Drosophila melanogaster: one gene and its partner. The protein of the gene in region 1 interacts with the protein of each later gene in a pairwise test. Each region holds a gene or a part of one and is shown in the gene's direction. Other genes may lie near its edges.

Region 1 (10,500 bases):
CTCATCGCCCAGCTGGGCTTTAATTTATAGCCAAACATTTGCCAAGAACACCCAGCACCTGGTGTCATAAACAAAGGCAGTTCATTGGCATTTCTTGATTGCCATTGAGTGTCTTTTTTTACATTTTTCGTCTAATTTCAATCGCAGTCAGGCAAAGACGCCGAGAATAATCGTCGGTTTGAAAAACCCAAAAAATCGCTTATACAAATACATAAGGTTGACCCAATCTTAATGGGTATATAAAATGAATTATGATGCGGAAGTGTGAGGCAACCGTGGAACGCAAACTAGATCTCTTTGGATTGTAACTCGATGTGCAACTGATTGAGATCATAATGGGTAGATAATTAACTGTGAATGATGCAAGGTTACTATAATAATAATCAGAGTAAAATATATTCTTAAGATCCATATTTGAAGTACCAAGTAACCAGATACCATTTGAGACGAACATTCTTGACATGACAAGACAAATCAACAAAAGTCGATAAAGACTACAATTAGCAATCCGATAACCCACAATTGGATACCGCTCTTCAGGCCAGCCAACTTGACCCACTGTAATCGCTTGATGGCTTGTTGTTTACCACTTAAAAAGCCCATCCGCCTCGCCTCGCGCGATATTCGACATACATATGTACATATATATATGGAAGCAAATAGCAGCGAGAGACTCTTCCAGAAATAACAGCCAGTTAACTACGGAATATGCAAGCTCATCGACTTTGTCGATTCCAAACACTCGGCAAAATGAAACTCGATCTTGCAGTACTTTTTTGTTTATCCATTGTTTACACTAGAGGGTCTCAAGAAACGCTCAGATTTATTCGGAAACGTCTAGCCAAAGAAACCGCCTTTGAATTTGGCAAAACCCACAGCGCCGCCAACGAATCCGCCGCCTCCGATGCCACCTAGTCCGCCCAATCCTCCTCCAACGGGATAGCCACCGCCATATCCGTAGCCATAGCTGGGTATCGTCTGTATGACGGGAACAGTGGTGATGATGGGCACAGTGGACACAACGGGAACTGTTTGGATAGCGGGGGCTGCCACTATGGGGGCAGCAACTCCTCCGCCTCCGATGATGCCGCCGCCCACGATACCGCCTCCAACGACTCCGCCACCTCCAAATCCACCAATGTGACGGGGTCTTCTAATGTTCTCCTCGTCGACGCTGGAGAGGATCGGTGTGGTGCTGACCACGGCGCACGCCAAGACGAGCAGGTAGACAGTTTGCCACAACATGATGGGGTTAACTGTTTGGTCTGCCCCACTCCCAGCTGCTTATTTATGCAAATTAATTAGTGGCCACTGTTTGCACTTCCAATTTGCATATTGGGGCGCCCGGGTAAAAAACCCATAACTCTAAGGCCCCATCTATGTTTTGGCGGTTCTATTGGGGGAATCATGGTTTTGCCCACTGGTAAGGTGGTTCACACCTCATCATCGTCATCGTTTGTGGTCTGAAGGTCGCCGGCCTGGGCATTAAAAGCCAGGTGATTTAGTTAAGGTAACTCACATCGTTATTGGACACTCAGCCGAGATGAGGTGCGATCTTCAAGTGCATTTTTTGTTATTACTGGCAATTGGCGCTTGGCGGACTGAAGCCCATTCCCTGGGAGGAGGTGGAATCGGAGCGGTTGGAGGAGTGGCAGCCATTGGCGGAGTTGGTGGCATCGGAGGAGTCCAGCAGGTTCCCGTTGTGCAACAAGTGCCCGTTGTCCAACAGGTTCCCGTCGTGCAACAGGTGCCCCTCATCCAACAGCAGCCGCAAGCTCTTGGCCTAGCAGGTGGAGGTGGATTCATTGGTGGCGGAATCGGAGGTGGTGCCGGTTTTGGACGCTACAAGGAAAGCTATCGCGTGCGAGCGAGGGGATTCGGTGGTGGATACCGCGCCCGGTACGACAAAAAATTTGGAGGAGGATTCGCCGGACTTGGTGCTGCTGGAGGAGCGGGCTTAGCTGGTGGCGGTCTGCTGGGATAAATACAAGCATGCTATGTAGTTTAATAACCAATTATAATAAATTGTATTAGTACCATTAATATGTTTATTTTTAACAATGAGACTTTGTTTATAACTAAAGCAGACGCACTTTCTTAAGGATAAGTATTTACAAGCTAATTAATAACAATCAATTCATATGCCGAATTATGGTAACATAATCCTGAGAACTTGCTCCTGAACACCCTGTATTTCTTCCGCTCTGCATTTCTGCTGACCTGCGCAGATTCCACCCCCAGCAAAAGTCCAATTGGCGCTCTGTGCTCTCCCACTTTATGATTTCCCACTCTCTGGTGGTGCATTTCGTCCCATTCATTTCCGTTGTTCTTCTACTTACTCAATATATCACGAGCACGCTCTAAATTTCTTTTACTCTTGTTTTGACTTGTAAAGAGAGTGGTACAGTGGTTTACATTACAGTACATTTTTTCAAAATACAATAAGTTACAATGGATATGCTTTCGAAAAGAATTTTTTTTGAAATATACATATGTGTTTAAAAATATAGATTATTATTATCATTTTGATTTGTATCTGCAAAATGTTACATTTAAATATTAAATAAAGAAAGCTTGTTTACTAAAATCCACAATACTATAAGTTATCAAAGTTTTCCATAACAAATAGTATGCGGATTTAGTTCTAAGAGTAAGTGTTAAGAGTACCAAGTTTGGCGCTCTTTAAAGAGCTGGACAGATTCGCGAGATGGCAGTTCCCTCGACGTGGAAATGAATTCCTGAAATTAAACGTTGTTCTTTGCCCGTCGTGTGCAGTCGCTCTCGCTCCCGTTATTCGCCGTTCTGGGATTCCCGCTGGCGGACTCTGGTGGCCATCACCTTGATAATCCTTATTGTGAAATATGTGAAGTGCTGCAAAGAGTCTAAGGATATCCTGATATATTAACGGTTAACTAAACTAGTGCGCAATATTAGAGGCCTAAAAATAGCGAAAATAGCAGACATGCCGTGTTTTTGTGCCTCTGTGTGTGCGTGAGTGTCTGCGAGTGAAGTGGAAATTTAAAAATAAAACAACGCTGGGACTCAACCGAAATCCGTCTGTATCGTATTGGCCAACTGCCCAGAAAAACTCCAGGTGATAAGCTCCATTCGAATTATTGTTCGTTTTCTTCTTTTTGGCCAGATTTTGTTGTTAATTGAATGCTCGGGGGAAAACTTTTAACACTCTCTCAGCTGTCAGTCTCTCTCTCTCTCTCTCAGCGATTTCAATGTCTTTATGACTTTCTCTTAAGCCACCGCTATTTTCAGTATGACCAGATTATCTCTTTCGTTCGGACTTAAGGAACACAGTGCAATTACTTGAAGTTTTCAATTACCCTAAATAGAAGGAGAGATTGGGGGGCGTTGAAGTCCTGGCACCTGCCTTATCTACTCGCCATAAGGACTGTCTCTTATGCCGCCCCATGCCACCCACTTTCGCAATTGACGAACCCCGGGCAACGTCATTATTCCGCTTTTCGCCAGACCTCTTGGCCCCTCTCGGCTTTTCTCAGTGTAATTAGTGTGATTGGGGCCAGTCTTGACTCGCTTTCTTGGCTTCTGCTTGCCATTTGGCTGATTGACAGCAGTAATAGTGGCAAATGCAACAAGCCCCCACAGGGAATTGCCTTGAAAGTACGGAAAGCTGTCCAAAATAATACCTTTACCAAGTTAAAAGTTGTACACCTAGCTGTAACATCATTCGTAGAAAGCAAATTCTGAACCAGATTCTACATATGTTGAGAATGGAGACTAGAGAGACTAGCTAACTAGAGATTCCTTGAACAATACAAAATGGTGTGTTTGTATTTTCTCAATTTCTCAAAAATCTGCACAAATTGTAAAACAGCGCTTCCTAAAACAACCCATTTGTTTTTACAAGTAAATTGTAATTGATGTGAGAAGGTAGTGCTTGTACACGATGGTGGTAGTTTAGACAACGGTTGATATCCTGTGGTTTAAACTTACCACCCTCTGGAATAAAATAACCTCAAATGGCGCTGCATCCCTCGGATCCCACGCACTGACGTCGCTGCAACTGAAACCCTGAAAATTGAAATTTTAGCTCGTGCTTCTGCTGGGTGGCTGTGTGTGCCGACGAGTATGTAGTTCAAGGTCGTTGGCCAACTTTCGGAAAGTGTCGGAGGGCCAAGATGTGCGTTTTTCTCATTACCATATAGGGAAACAGAAGCGCGAGAGGCCGTGGCAAGTTGAAGGACACGCGAGTGCCACACTTGAGACGCTATTCTTGGGCTCCAGAGGCGTCCATTCAGTTGACACTAATCACCACCCACGTACCACAAAGCGTGACACTAATGAGCACCGGTCATGCAATAGGGCAGCGTGTTGGTGACCTCTTGGAATGTGGCACCTGGCCAAGACCAGTCCTGCAGCACGGCAACAGGATGCGCAGTCATTGAACAGTTAATGGAGTGCAGATTGCAACAAGGGGCGCCAACATTCCGGGCCACTGGGCAGATGAAAGTGGCCATAAATCCAACGCCTGCTCTAATCATATCGCCCCCTGGCCAGAAGCCAATGGGCGACAACAGCGAACGTCCCACTTGGCCGGGCTTAATGTCAGCTAATTGCATTGGCGTTCCGCTGGCTGGGAGCTCTTTAGACTTGGCGTCGTCAGTGGGGCTCCCCAGCTCCAATGTTTCGGGTTCAACGGGGCGCAAACTGTTGTTATGGTAACCAAACAGTGGGACTCCTTTAAGGTGGTTTCAAGAGATGATGACAATGGTAGAGAACTATATAAATCTGAGCTTGGTATTCCATTTGGCTTTTAAATGTATTTCTTTCAAATAAGTTTATGGCTAGATACAATCAAACAGTAGTTAAACTAATAATGGTAAAGATACACGACAAATATTTCTTATCTACAATTTTTAAATATCCTATTATATTTCCAACCTAAACAAGTATAACTGTATCTTAATATCCAAAACGAACTTCGTCAACATTTACCAGTGTCTGGTGTCCTTTGGCGAGTGACGCAAAGTAGTCGCTTCTCAGTGGGTGGGGGTGGTTATGGTGTTTATGGTTATTGGGTGGTGGGTGGCAGCCTTGGGCCTGGAATTATCATTCGGCTTTGGCCTGGCCCGCTTGCCCCTCGTTGACATGTTTATGCGCAAATTTACGAAGTCTCTCTCCGGTTGTTGTTAAAGTCTCATATCGATTTTGTTAACACGATTATAGGAACAGCGCCAAAGAATAACTTGTAAAGGATAAGCAAGGACAGTGACTCGTCGACTGTTGTGTGACATGCTAGAAGCAGTTATGGCATCGGACATCAACTGGGATCCTGGTGAGTTGAGTGACGCACCCAGTCAGTCCAAAATGATTGATTAACCTTTCGCTCGCTGTGCAGCTCTTTCCAAGCTGATCAGCACGCTCAAGGAGTCGGAGAATCTATCCAATGACCAGGAAATCGACTTCCTGAAGGCCTTGCTTGAATCCAAGGAACTAAACGCGCTGGTCAATGTCCACACGAAGGTGGCCAAAGTGGGTCGAGATGATCGTCTGGCCCCGGTGCTCTCCACCTCTGCCCAGGTGTTGTACGAAGTCCTGGAGCAGCTGTCCCAGCATTGTCATCTGAACGATGACTGCAAGGAGGCCTTTCACCTGCTGCAGGACTCTCACCTGCAGGTGAGCTGTTTTATTTTGATAGATGAACGTTCTTATTAATAGTTCATTATTTTCAGCACCTTCTGTTCGCCCACGATGCGATTGCCCAGAAGGACTTCTACCCGCACCTGCCGGAGGCGCCTGTCGAAATGGACGAGGACGAGGAGACCATCAAGATTGTGCAGCTCGTCAAGAGCAACGAGCCCCTGGTGAGTGTTCGTCCAGTGGCACCAGCGCTTTCCATTTCCATGCCCATCTCATCGACGTGATCGCTGTATTGTGCTGTCCATCGCTTTCCACCGTCCACTTTCGACTTTCATTTCCGTACCCCGCCCCGACTTTCACCGCCTACCCTTCGCCTTTGCCAACTGCTCCTTTCTGCGCCTCCATTCATACTCGTTCTACTGTTGTTATCGCCTCCATGTCAACTCTTTTCAATGCTAATCAATTTTGTCAACTTTGCCTTTGTTAAAATCGAATGAAATCGAATCAATTTCTCGAATTCGCCCATACCAAACAAATATGCATTCGTTAACAAAAACAAAAAAATGTAAAAATCCAAAAATGTATAAAAAAAAAAACACAGACAGGAGCACAGAGTACGGAGCCAATTGTTGTAAGTAATCGAATGTCCATAGCCGTAAAATGTCCACTGTAAGAAATAAAACAGAAAACCCATTCGCCAAGCACTGAAGACAACAAACAACAGCCAGGAAGCTGTGCACACACCAAGATACATGTCACATAAGATACCATTACCATCCTTTGTTCCCATTCCGTTGTTCTTGTCGCTGTGACGCATCCATTAGATACACTCACATCTAGAACATCGGAAGCCGCACTCCACACAGATACACAATCGCACACACACACACACTCTCTCCACACGCACACATACGCGCCTTGCGTTGGCTTTCTAGTAACACGAATTGCCTACTTTTAGGGCGCCACCATTAAAACGGACGAGGAGTCGGGCAAGATAATCATCGCCAGAATTATGCACGGCGGCGCTGCAGATCGCTCCGGATTGATTCACGTCGGCGACGAGGTCATCGAGGTCAACAACATCAACGTGGAGGGCAAGACGCCGGGCGATGTGCTCACCATACTGGTAAGTATGCTTAGAATTGATCGAGAAACCTCATTCTTGATGTAATTTTCATACCTTTTATAAACAACCAGCAAAACTCGGAGGGCACCATTACCTTTAAGCTGGTTCCCGCGGACAACAAGGGCGCCCAGCGCGAGTCCAAAGTGCGGGTGAGGGCCCACTTTGACTACAATCCGGATGTGGATCCCTACATTCCGTGCAAGGAGGCGGGTCTGGCCTTCCAGCGCGGCGATGTGTTGCACATTGTGGCCCAAGACGATGCCTACTGGTGGCAGGCGCGCAAGGAGCACGAGCGCTCGGCAAGAGCCGGTTTGATTCCCAGCCGGGCGCTGCAGGAGCGCCGTATCCTCCACGACCGTACACAGAAGAACGGCACCGATCTGGACTCGAAGCGTAAGCATATCGCGTTGCCAGCCCATTGCTTCCATAACATTCGCTGTTCATTGTCTTTCCATGACTAAAATTGCTCTAATTTCATTCTTCATCTGTGCCCCCCTCATCTAACACTCGACCCAACTCCAAATGGTCCCATCCATGCATTGCCATCGCCAGCCGGATCATGCGCCTCACTATGCACCACCCCACCTGGCTCCCCGCGTCTGCCTGCGAGTAGCAGCACCTCCTCCTGCCGCCAGCCCAAGACTAAAAAGATCATGTACGATTTGACAGAGAACGACGACTTTGACCGCGAGCAGATCGCCACGTACGAGGAGGTGGCCAAGTTGTATCCACGGCCCGGAGTCTTCAGGCCCATAGTGCTCATCGGAGCACCCGGCGTGGGGCGGAATGAATTGCGCCGCCGGCTGATAGCCCGGGATCCCGAGAAGTTCCGCAGTCCGGTTCCGTGTAAGTTTTCTTAAGTTTGTTTTATTAAGTGAACAAATGAACTAGTGTAGAAATGACCAAGTGAACAAATGGACCTCTTTTCGAACATCTTTAATAGAAAACCTATTCGTTTTTTTCAGACACCACCCGACCAATGCGCACAGGTGAAGTGGCCGGACGAGAGTACATCTTTGTGGCCCGCGAGAAAATGGACGCGGACATCGAGGCGGGAAAGTTTGTGGAGCACGGCGAGTACAAGGGCCATTTGTACGGAACATCGGCGGAGAGTGTCAAGTCGATTGTGAATGCCGGCTGCGTATGTGTGCTGAGTCCGCACTACCAGGCGATCAAGACTCTGCGCACAGCTCAGCTGAAGCCCTTCCTCATCCATGTGAAGCCACCAGAGTTGGACATCCTGAAGGCTACGCGAACGGAGGCGCGTGCCAAATCCACATTCGACGAGGCGAATGCCAGAAGTTTTACGGACGAAGAGTTCGAGGACATGATCAAGTCGGCCGAACGCATAGATTTCCTATACGGACACTTCTTCGACGTAGAGCTGGTCAACGGCGAACTGGTCAATGCTTTCGAGCAGCTGGTCCAGAATGTCCAGCGACTGGAGAACGAACCGGTATGGGCACCATCCATGTGGGTGCAGTAGATCGGTTGCCAAATGTGGACAAGCATTTCATGCAGTTTGTTGATGAACACCAAAGTATTTTTGCCATACGAATTTAGCAATCTGCTAGAGAAACGGAGAAGAGACACTATTTACCCGTAGGCGGTCCTGCTGGGCACTCCCGTCCGGCCTTAGTCCTTTTCACGACATGTACCTTTTTGCGTAACAGTGAAAACAATGTAATGAATACAATAATTATTGACAGAAAGTGAAGGAAATTTGAACTCAACCAGCATCTAACTTACAATTAAATTATATAAACTTGTTGTACAAAATTTATTTGTGTTCAAAGAATGACTTAATTATAAATGTATGTATTACACGTTGTTGAAATCAAAGTACAGAGTTAATCCCCCCGTAAAACCTAAAGCTAATCGTATTGTATCTCAGTTGTATATACACTCACTAACTGAAGCATATTGGATACAATGTGAAGTTCTGTGTGACGACATGTCTCATTTCGAAAACTGATTTCACCAAAAACGTAGTGACAAATTGTTGAAAACAAGTGAGAAACTAATAAAAAAAAAAAACTATTTTAAATGCGATTGAGAGGGAAGCGTTTTTCATTAGCTTAGCAATTGATGATGTATATATTAACTTTATTTAGGTTAGAGAAGACTTAAACACAGCTTTATTGGGCAGCGCACTTGTTGACATATTGACATGCTCACGTACATATAAACTCGTAAATATAATCTGTCACCTATGCTAACCTATGGCAAATGTGTAAATTATTAGCTTAGGCATATGAAGTCTATCCAGGATGTACTGATCAGTTTTCTTGATTGTATCTTGTAGTGCGAAGACAGAATTCTACATCCACACGTATAACTGGGTCAGGTATCGCTGTCGTCTATACATGTTCTACGATATCCTAGCCTACAGCTAGAGTTGCGATTTGGTTCCAGAACGGGACACGCTTATTCCGTAAAACTGGGCCAGTCGTCTGGCCTCCCGCCATCCCGCCTCGACTGCTCCGTGAACCGTGGAGTAGTAGTGCTCGCTGGACGCTTCTCCGGCGAACTGGACAATGGGTCTATCGCAGCGACTCTGCTGCCACGCCTCGTCCTCCGAGTCCTTGTCCTTCTCCGGAGTGGTGGCCACCACGGTCAGGGGATGGGATAACTCCCGTGCACCCGTTCCCAGCTGCTCCGTGTCCATGGATCGATAGGAGTAGGACCCACGAAAATTGTCATTCGTATACCAGGCAGAGGTGCGGAAATTCGCGGGATCTGGGATTTTCCACCTCAGGAATCTTCGGAAGAGGTACATAACGCCAGCCTGGACCTCATCAACGGGAAGGGTTTCCATGTGCCTGCCGCTCTCATTGGTTATCCAGCCCGCCAAGATTCTCGGCTGATAGCTCACCCTGTAGAAGCCAAAGACATCCTCCAACCATGCTCGAGAAGTGCCGCGTATGTCATCCAAATCCTCGTCCCGCCAGAGCATGGTGAAACCCGTCCAATCCTCGGGCCAAAATGCCTCGGGAAACTCCACAAAGATTTTGTTGACCGTTCCAAAGGCCAAACCGTCAATGGCACGTTGTTTCTCTACTGGAAGCTGTGGCTCAAATAGCCGAAGGTGCTGATCCTTGAGAACTCCCAATGAAACCGTGACCACCACATGGTCAGCTATACAGGTCTCTCCATTGCTCATTTGAAGTTCCACGCGTCCGTCGTTCCGATTCCAGTTGATCTTCACAACACGAGTGCCAAGCAGGAGACGCTGCTCCAGAACTCCATGCTCCACATTTAACTCCCTGGAGCGCATGAGAAGCCGTAGAAGCTCCACATAGCCCTTGTCCTTCCAGTTTAGCAGGATATCGCCCTCGCACTCCCAATAGTCCAGGTAACCTCGTCCCGAAACTTGTTCTAGCGTATCCGAGGCCTCGACGGAGTTCTCGAATTTCTGATAGTTGACAAAGAACTCACTGGCCACCTCTGCGTCTATATCGGAGTTTTCCGGACGCCGGAGAGTGTCGTAAAACTTGTTGGTCAGATAGCTGCCCAAGGAACCGCTGCAGTGACGCAGCTCCAGTTGCCGGGTGACCAGTGAATCCCCGACGATGGCTTTCAGGCGACTAGATACCTCTTCCGGTACCACATCTCCGTTGGAGCGGACGCACTCATAGTTTTCGTAGACCGGACCCGTCGACTCCAGCAGCTCCTCATCCTGTTTCCGTGTCAGTTCGTACACAATGTTGTCCCGTTCCCCATGACACCATTGGGCACCCAGATCAATGACGTTGTCCGCA
Region 2 (3,286 bases), on another chromosome or scaffold:
ATGAGTTCAATAGACCATCACTGAAGACCAAGGAGAGAACGATTCCTCCAGCAAACTTCATTTCGAGAAAGGTAGTGTACCCTGCAGCTCCCAATGAACTTCATTAACAATCTGATTCTTTGCAGAACTCTAAGCGTCGCAAGGGCTACATACGAAACCGACCGGTTGTTGTTAAGGGAAAACGAACCTTGAAATAAACCCAAAAAAAAAATAATTGTATTGATCTTTCACCAATATATATAACTTGGTTAAAACACTTTACACATAGCACATAGTTTGGTGAAAGTGTGTCCACCGCATCCTCATGTTGAGGGCTTTAATCGCCGCCTCAAATTCAACTTTCACATACTTCCCGACTCGTGCGACACAATTTTATCGAGTTGCTGCTTTCGTAAAATTTCCGGTTCCTTCGATTTAAATCTGTTCGCGGCTCCACCATTCATTGTCTTAAGCTAGCAATTCAATAAAGCAGAGTGTACATTTTTAAACCTTAATATCTATCATAGTTATTCATTTTTATTTGAACAGTAGCGATCTACAGCTCATAAGTCAAATGGCTAGTTAGTAGTGCTAGTTATCATTACGGCGACGTCGTTGGATTTTTCGTTCCAGGTCCCTGGACTTTTGCTTCTTGGCGGGAACGAATACGTCGGGCTCGTCGGGTTCATTTTGGTTAGAAGACTTGGGCTGAACCATGTTGGTATCGAAGTTGAACTCATCGTTGGAGTTGGCCAGTTGTCTGCGAAACACTGCGGCGCTGTTGGTGATCCGTGCTTTGGGATGCGAAGGAGGTAGCCACGAAACAGTCTGTGTGGTCGAGTTATAGAAGTAAAACGCCTTGCAGCCCTTATCGTAGACATCCTTCCAGCCCGCCTCCAGTGGATACTTCCGCAGCAATCTCTTGTAGCGCTTGAGATACCTATGGCTGGGCTGCGAAAGCGGCGAGCTGTTGAACTTGTTTACGCAGTACAGCGAGCACTTGTGGTATATGTTGTATTTGTTGGGACACAGCTTGTAGCCATGGTAGGACTCGTTCACGCCGATCCGCTCCTTGATGCGGTGCGACCAGAACTTCTCCTCGACGCTCCTGCGCTTGGGCTCCGGCGATGTGTCCTCCTTGTACGGGTAAGGGCCGCTCTTGTCATCGTCATCGTAGTTCTCGGCTATAATCTCTTCTATAGCTTCTGAAATCGGTGCTGCTCCTGTGGAAAGCTGAAGTTGGTTATCCTCTTTTTGGATTCTATACTGGTCTTTGTATTTACCCGACTGTTTGGTCACAAGTCCGCGCTTCTTCAGGCGCTGCAATAGTGCAGCTGGCAGGCTCATTTTGCTATTATTCTATTGTTAGTTTAAATAAATACGGTGCGGAAATAATATCAATATAAAATAATATGACCATGGATGTACGTGCATAAAATACCACACTTTCAAGAAACTTGTTTGTTTCAAAAGATAATTTTTTAAACGAAAAGTACTGAGATTAGATTATAAGTATATGATATATTGTTAAATATAAAAAATATAACTTTTGTTACTATTTTATTAAACCAAATTATTTCAAATAGAGAATATAATTTCACGGAATGGTATTTTGTGCCCCTGAGACGTATGGTCATATTATTTTCAGCTGCTCGAATAATATTTCAGGTCAGCTCAATTTGACTGATTATTATTAAATTGAACAGCAATATGGCCGATAACGCAGAACCACTGACTTTGTCCAGAGGTAAGGGTGCATGCTAACCATTCCCAGTTGGAGGAAACTCACACCCAATGCTCTAACTTTCAGATGTCAAAAGATCGATAGAGCTCTTGGAAAAGCTGCAAGCGAGTGGCGACTTCCCCACGACAAAACTGGCCGCCCTGCAGAAGGTGCTCAACTCGGACTTCATGACCTCCGTGCGGGAGGTGTACGAGCACGTCTACGAGACGGTGGACATCCAGGGCTCCCACGACGTGAGGGCATCCGCCACTGCCAAGGCCACTGTGGCAGCCTTCGCAGCCAGCGAGGGGCACGCTCATCCCAGAGTCGTCGAGCTCCCGAAAACGGAGGAGGGTAAGACACGCCCCTATGAGCTAAGAATCGAGGGGATTCCCCTATATCATAAAACCAATACCTTGATTGTAAAGGTCTATAGACCGAGAATATATGTTTCTATTATACATCTTATATGGAAAGCTTTATCAATCTTTAATTTTTGTTTTTCAGGCTTGGGTTTCAATGTAATGGGGGGCAAGGAGCAAAACTCGCCCATCTATATATCCCGAATAATACCTGGAGGCGTGGCTGACAGGCATGGTGGTCTGAAAAGGGGAGATCAACTTTTGTCTGTGAATGGTGTGGTAAGTCATTAATTCAGTTATGTACCTTAACTCCTTAAGAACTTGCAAAATATCAATATTTCAGTCTGTCGAAGGAGAAAACCACGAGAAGGCCGTAGAGCTATTAAAGCAAGCTGTCGGATCTGTAAAGCTGGTGGTACGCTACACACCAAAGGTTCTCGAGGAAATGGAAATGCGATTTGATAAGCAACGCAACACACGTCGTCGCCAATAAGGCACATCGGCAAAAACTTGTGCCATAGTAGTTTTTGCCATTAGACCATGCTGATATGCACGTATCAAGCCCTTTACGAATAATATAATTTAACACAAATACCATTTATATATTATTTATTACAAAGAAACTCTGGAAAATTACTCTTTAATCGTAAAAAGTGAGTGTTATGTATTTGTAACTAATTACCGCGTTGGTTTTTGTTCCAATAAATGTAATTAAAACTGTCAGACAATGCAAATCTTTTCTTCATAAGTTTCAGTCCATAAATGGGGCCCATTTCAAAACGCAACTTTGTAAATTTTAGTACGATTGCCGTAGAAAATATAAAAATACAGTTTTATTGCTTTTCTTTACAACGTATAACTTTTCACAATTTAGGAGAAGGATCGGTTCTTCAGCTTTTTAAGGAAATCCTTGGCCTGCTTATCACCTAGTCTGTATTCCAAGGCACGCAGTGATTCGGAATCTGAAAGCACATAACATGTATAAGTTTCCAGTTTTAATCTGCCAAAAGTATGATTAGGTACCTGTATACTCTGGTCTGGATAGATTCATCATTATTTGCTCGCCCGGTGGTGTCGCTTCCAGATCTGCGAAAGATATATAGCTCTCTGCTATATACTGGCTCGACATGCCGAATAAATCTTTATCTTTGATGCTAAATACAATAAGACTATTCTTTTCACTTCGCTGGTGGTCACTCAAGTTTCTGCCGAATGAAGGTAT

Evidence for each region. The genes of interacting proteins can lie anywhere in the genome.
Region 2: the proteins of metro (region 1) and veli interact in a two-hybrid assay, tested with the Drosophila melanogaster proteins (2 studies listed by BioGRID).

What each region holds. Positions count from the first base shown.
Region 1 is NT_033778.4:11,224,748-11,235,247, reverse strand, and holds metro (menage a trois), read left to right. Parts: upstream 1-2,731; 5' UTR 2,732-3,094; intron 3,095-5,199; 5' UTR 5,200-5,265; coding exon 5,266-5,308; intron 5,309-5,371; coding exon 5,372-5,649; intron 5,650-5,705; coding exon 5,706-5,837; intron 5,838-6,214; coding exon 6,215-6,244; intron 6,245-6,571; coding exon 6,572-6,739; intron 6,740-6,810; coding exon 6,811-7,132; intron 7,133-7,291; coding exon 7,292-7,585; intron 7,586-7,704; coding exon 7,705-8,225; 3' UTR 8,226-8,790; downstream 8,791-10,500. Other genes in the region: CG13228 (uncharacterized protein), read right to left, coding at 838-1,245; CG13218 (uncharacterized protein), read left to right, coding at 1,544-1,984; CG7737 (uncharacterized protein), read right to left, coding at 9,132-10,500.
Region 2 is NT_033777.3:25,063,918-25,067,203, reverse strand, and holds veli (veli), read left to right. Parts: upstream 1-1,612; 5' UTR 1,613-1,689; coding exon 1,690-1,726; intron 1,727-1,789; coding exon 1,790-2,343; intron 2,344-2,407; coding exon 2,408-2,557; 3' UTR 2,558-2,786; downstream 2,787-3,286. Other genes in the region: Stt3B (catalytic subunit 3B of the oligosaccharyltransferase complex), read left to right, coding at 1-71, 126-197; PQBP1 (Poly-glutamine tract binding protein 1), read right to left, coding at 571-1,202, 1,263-1,326; stac (staccato), read right to left, coding at 2,935-3,026, 3,088-3,269.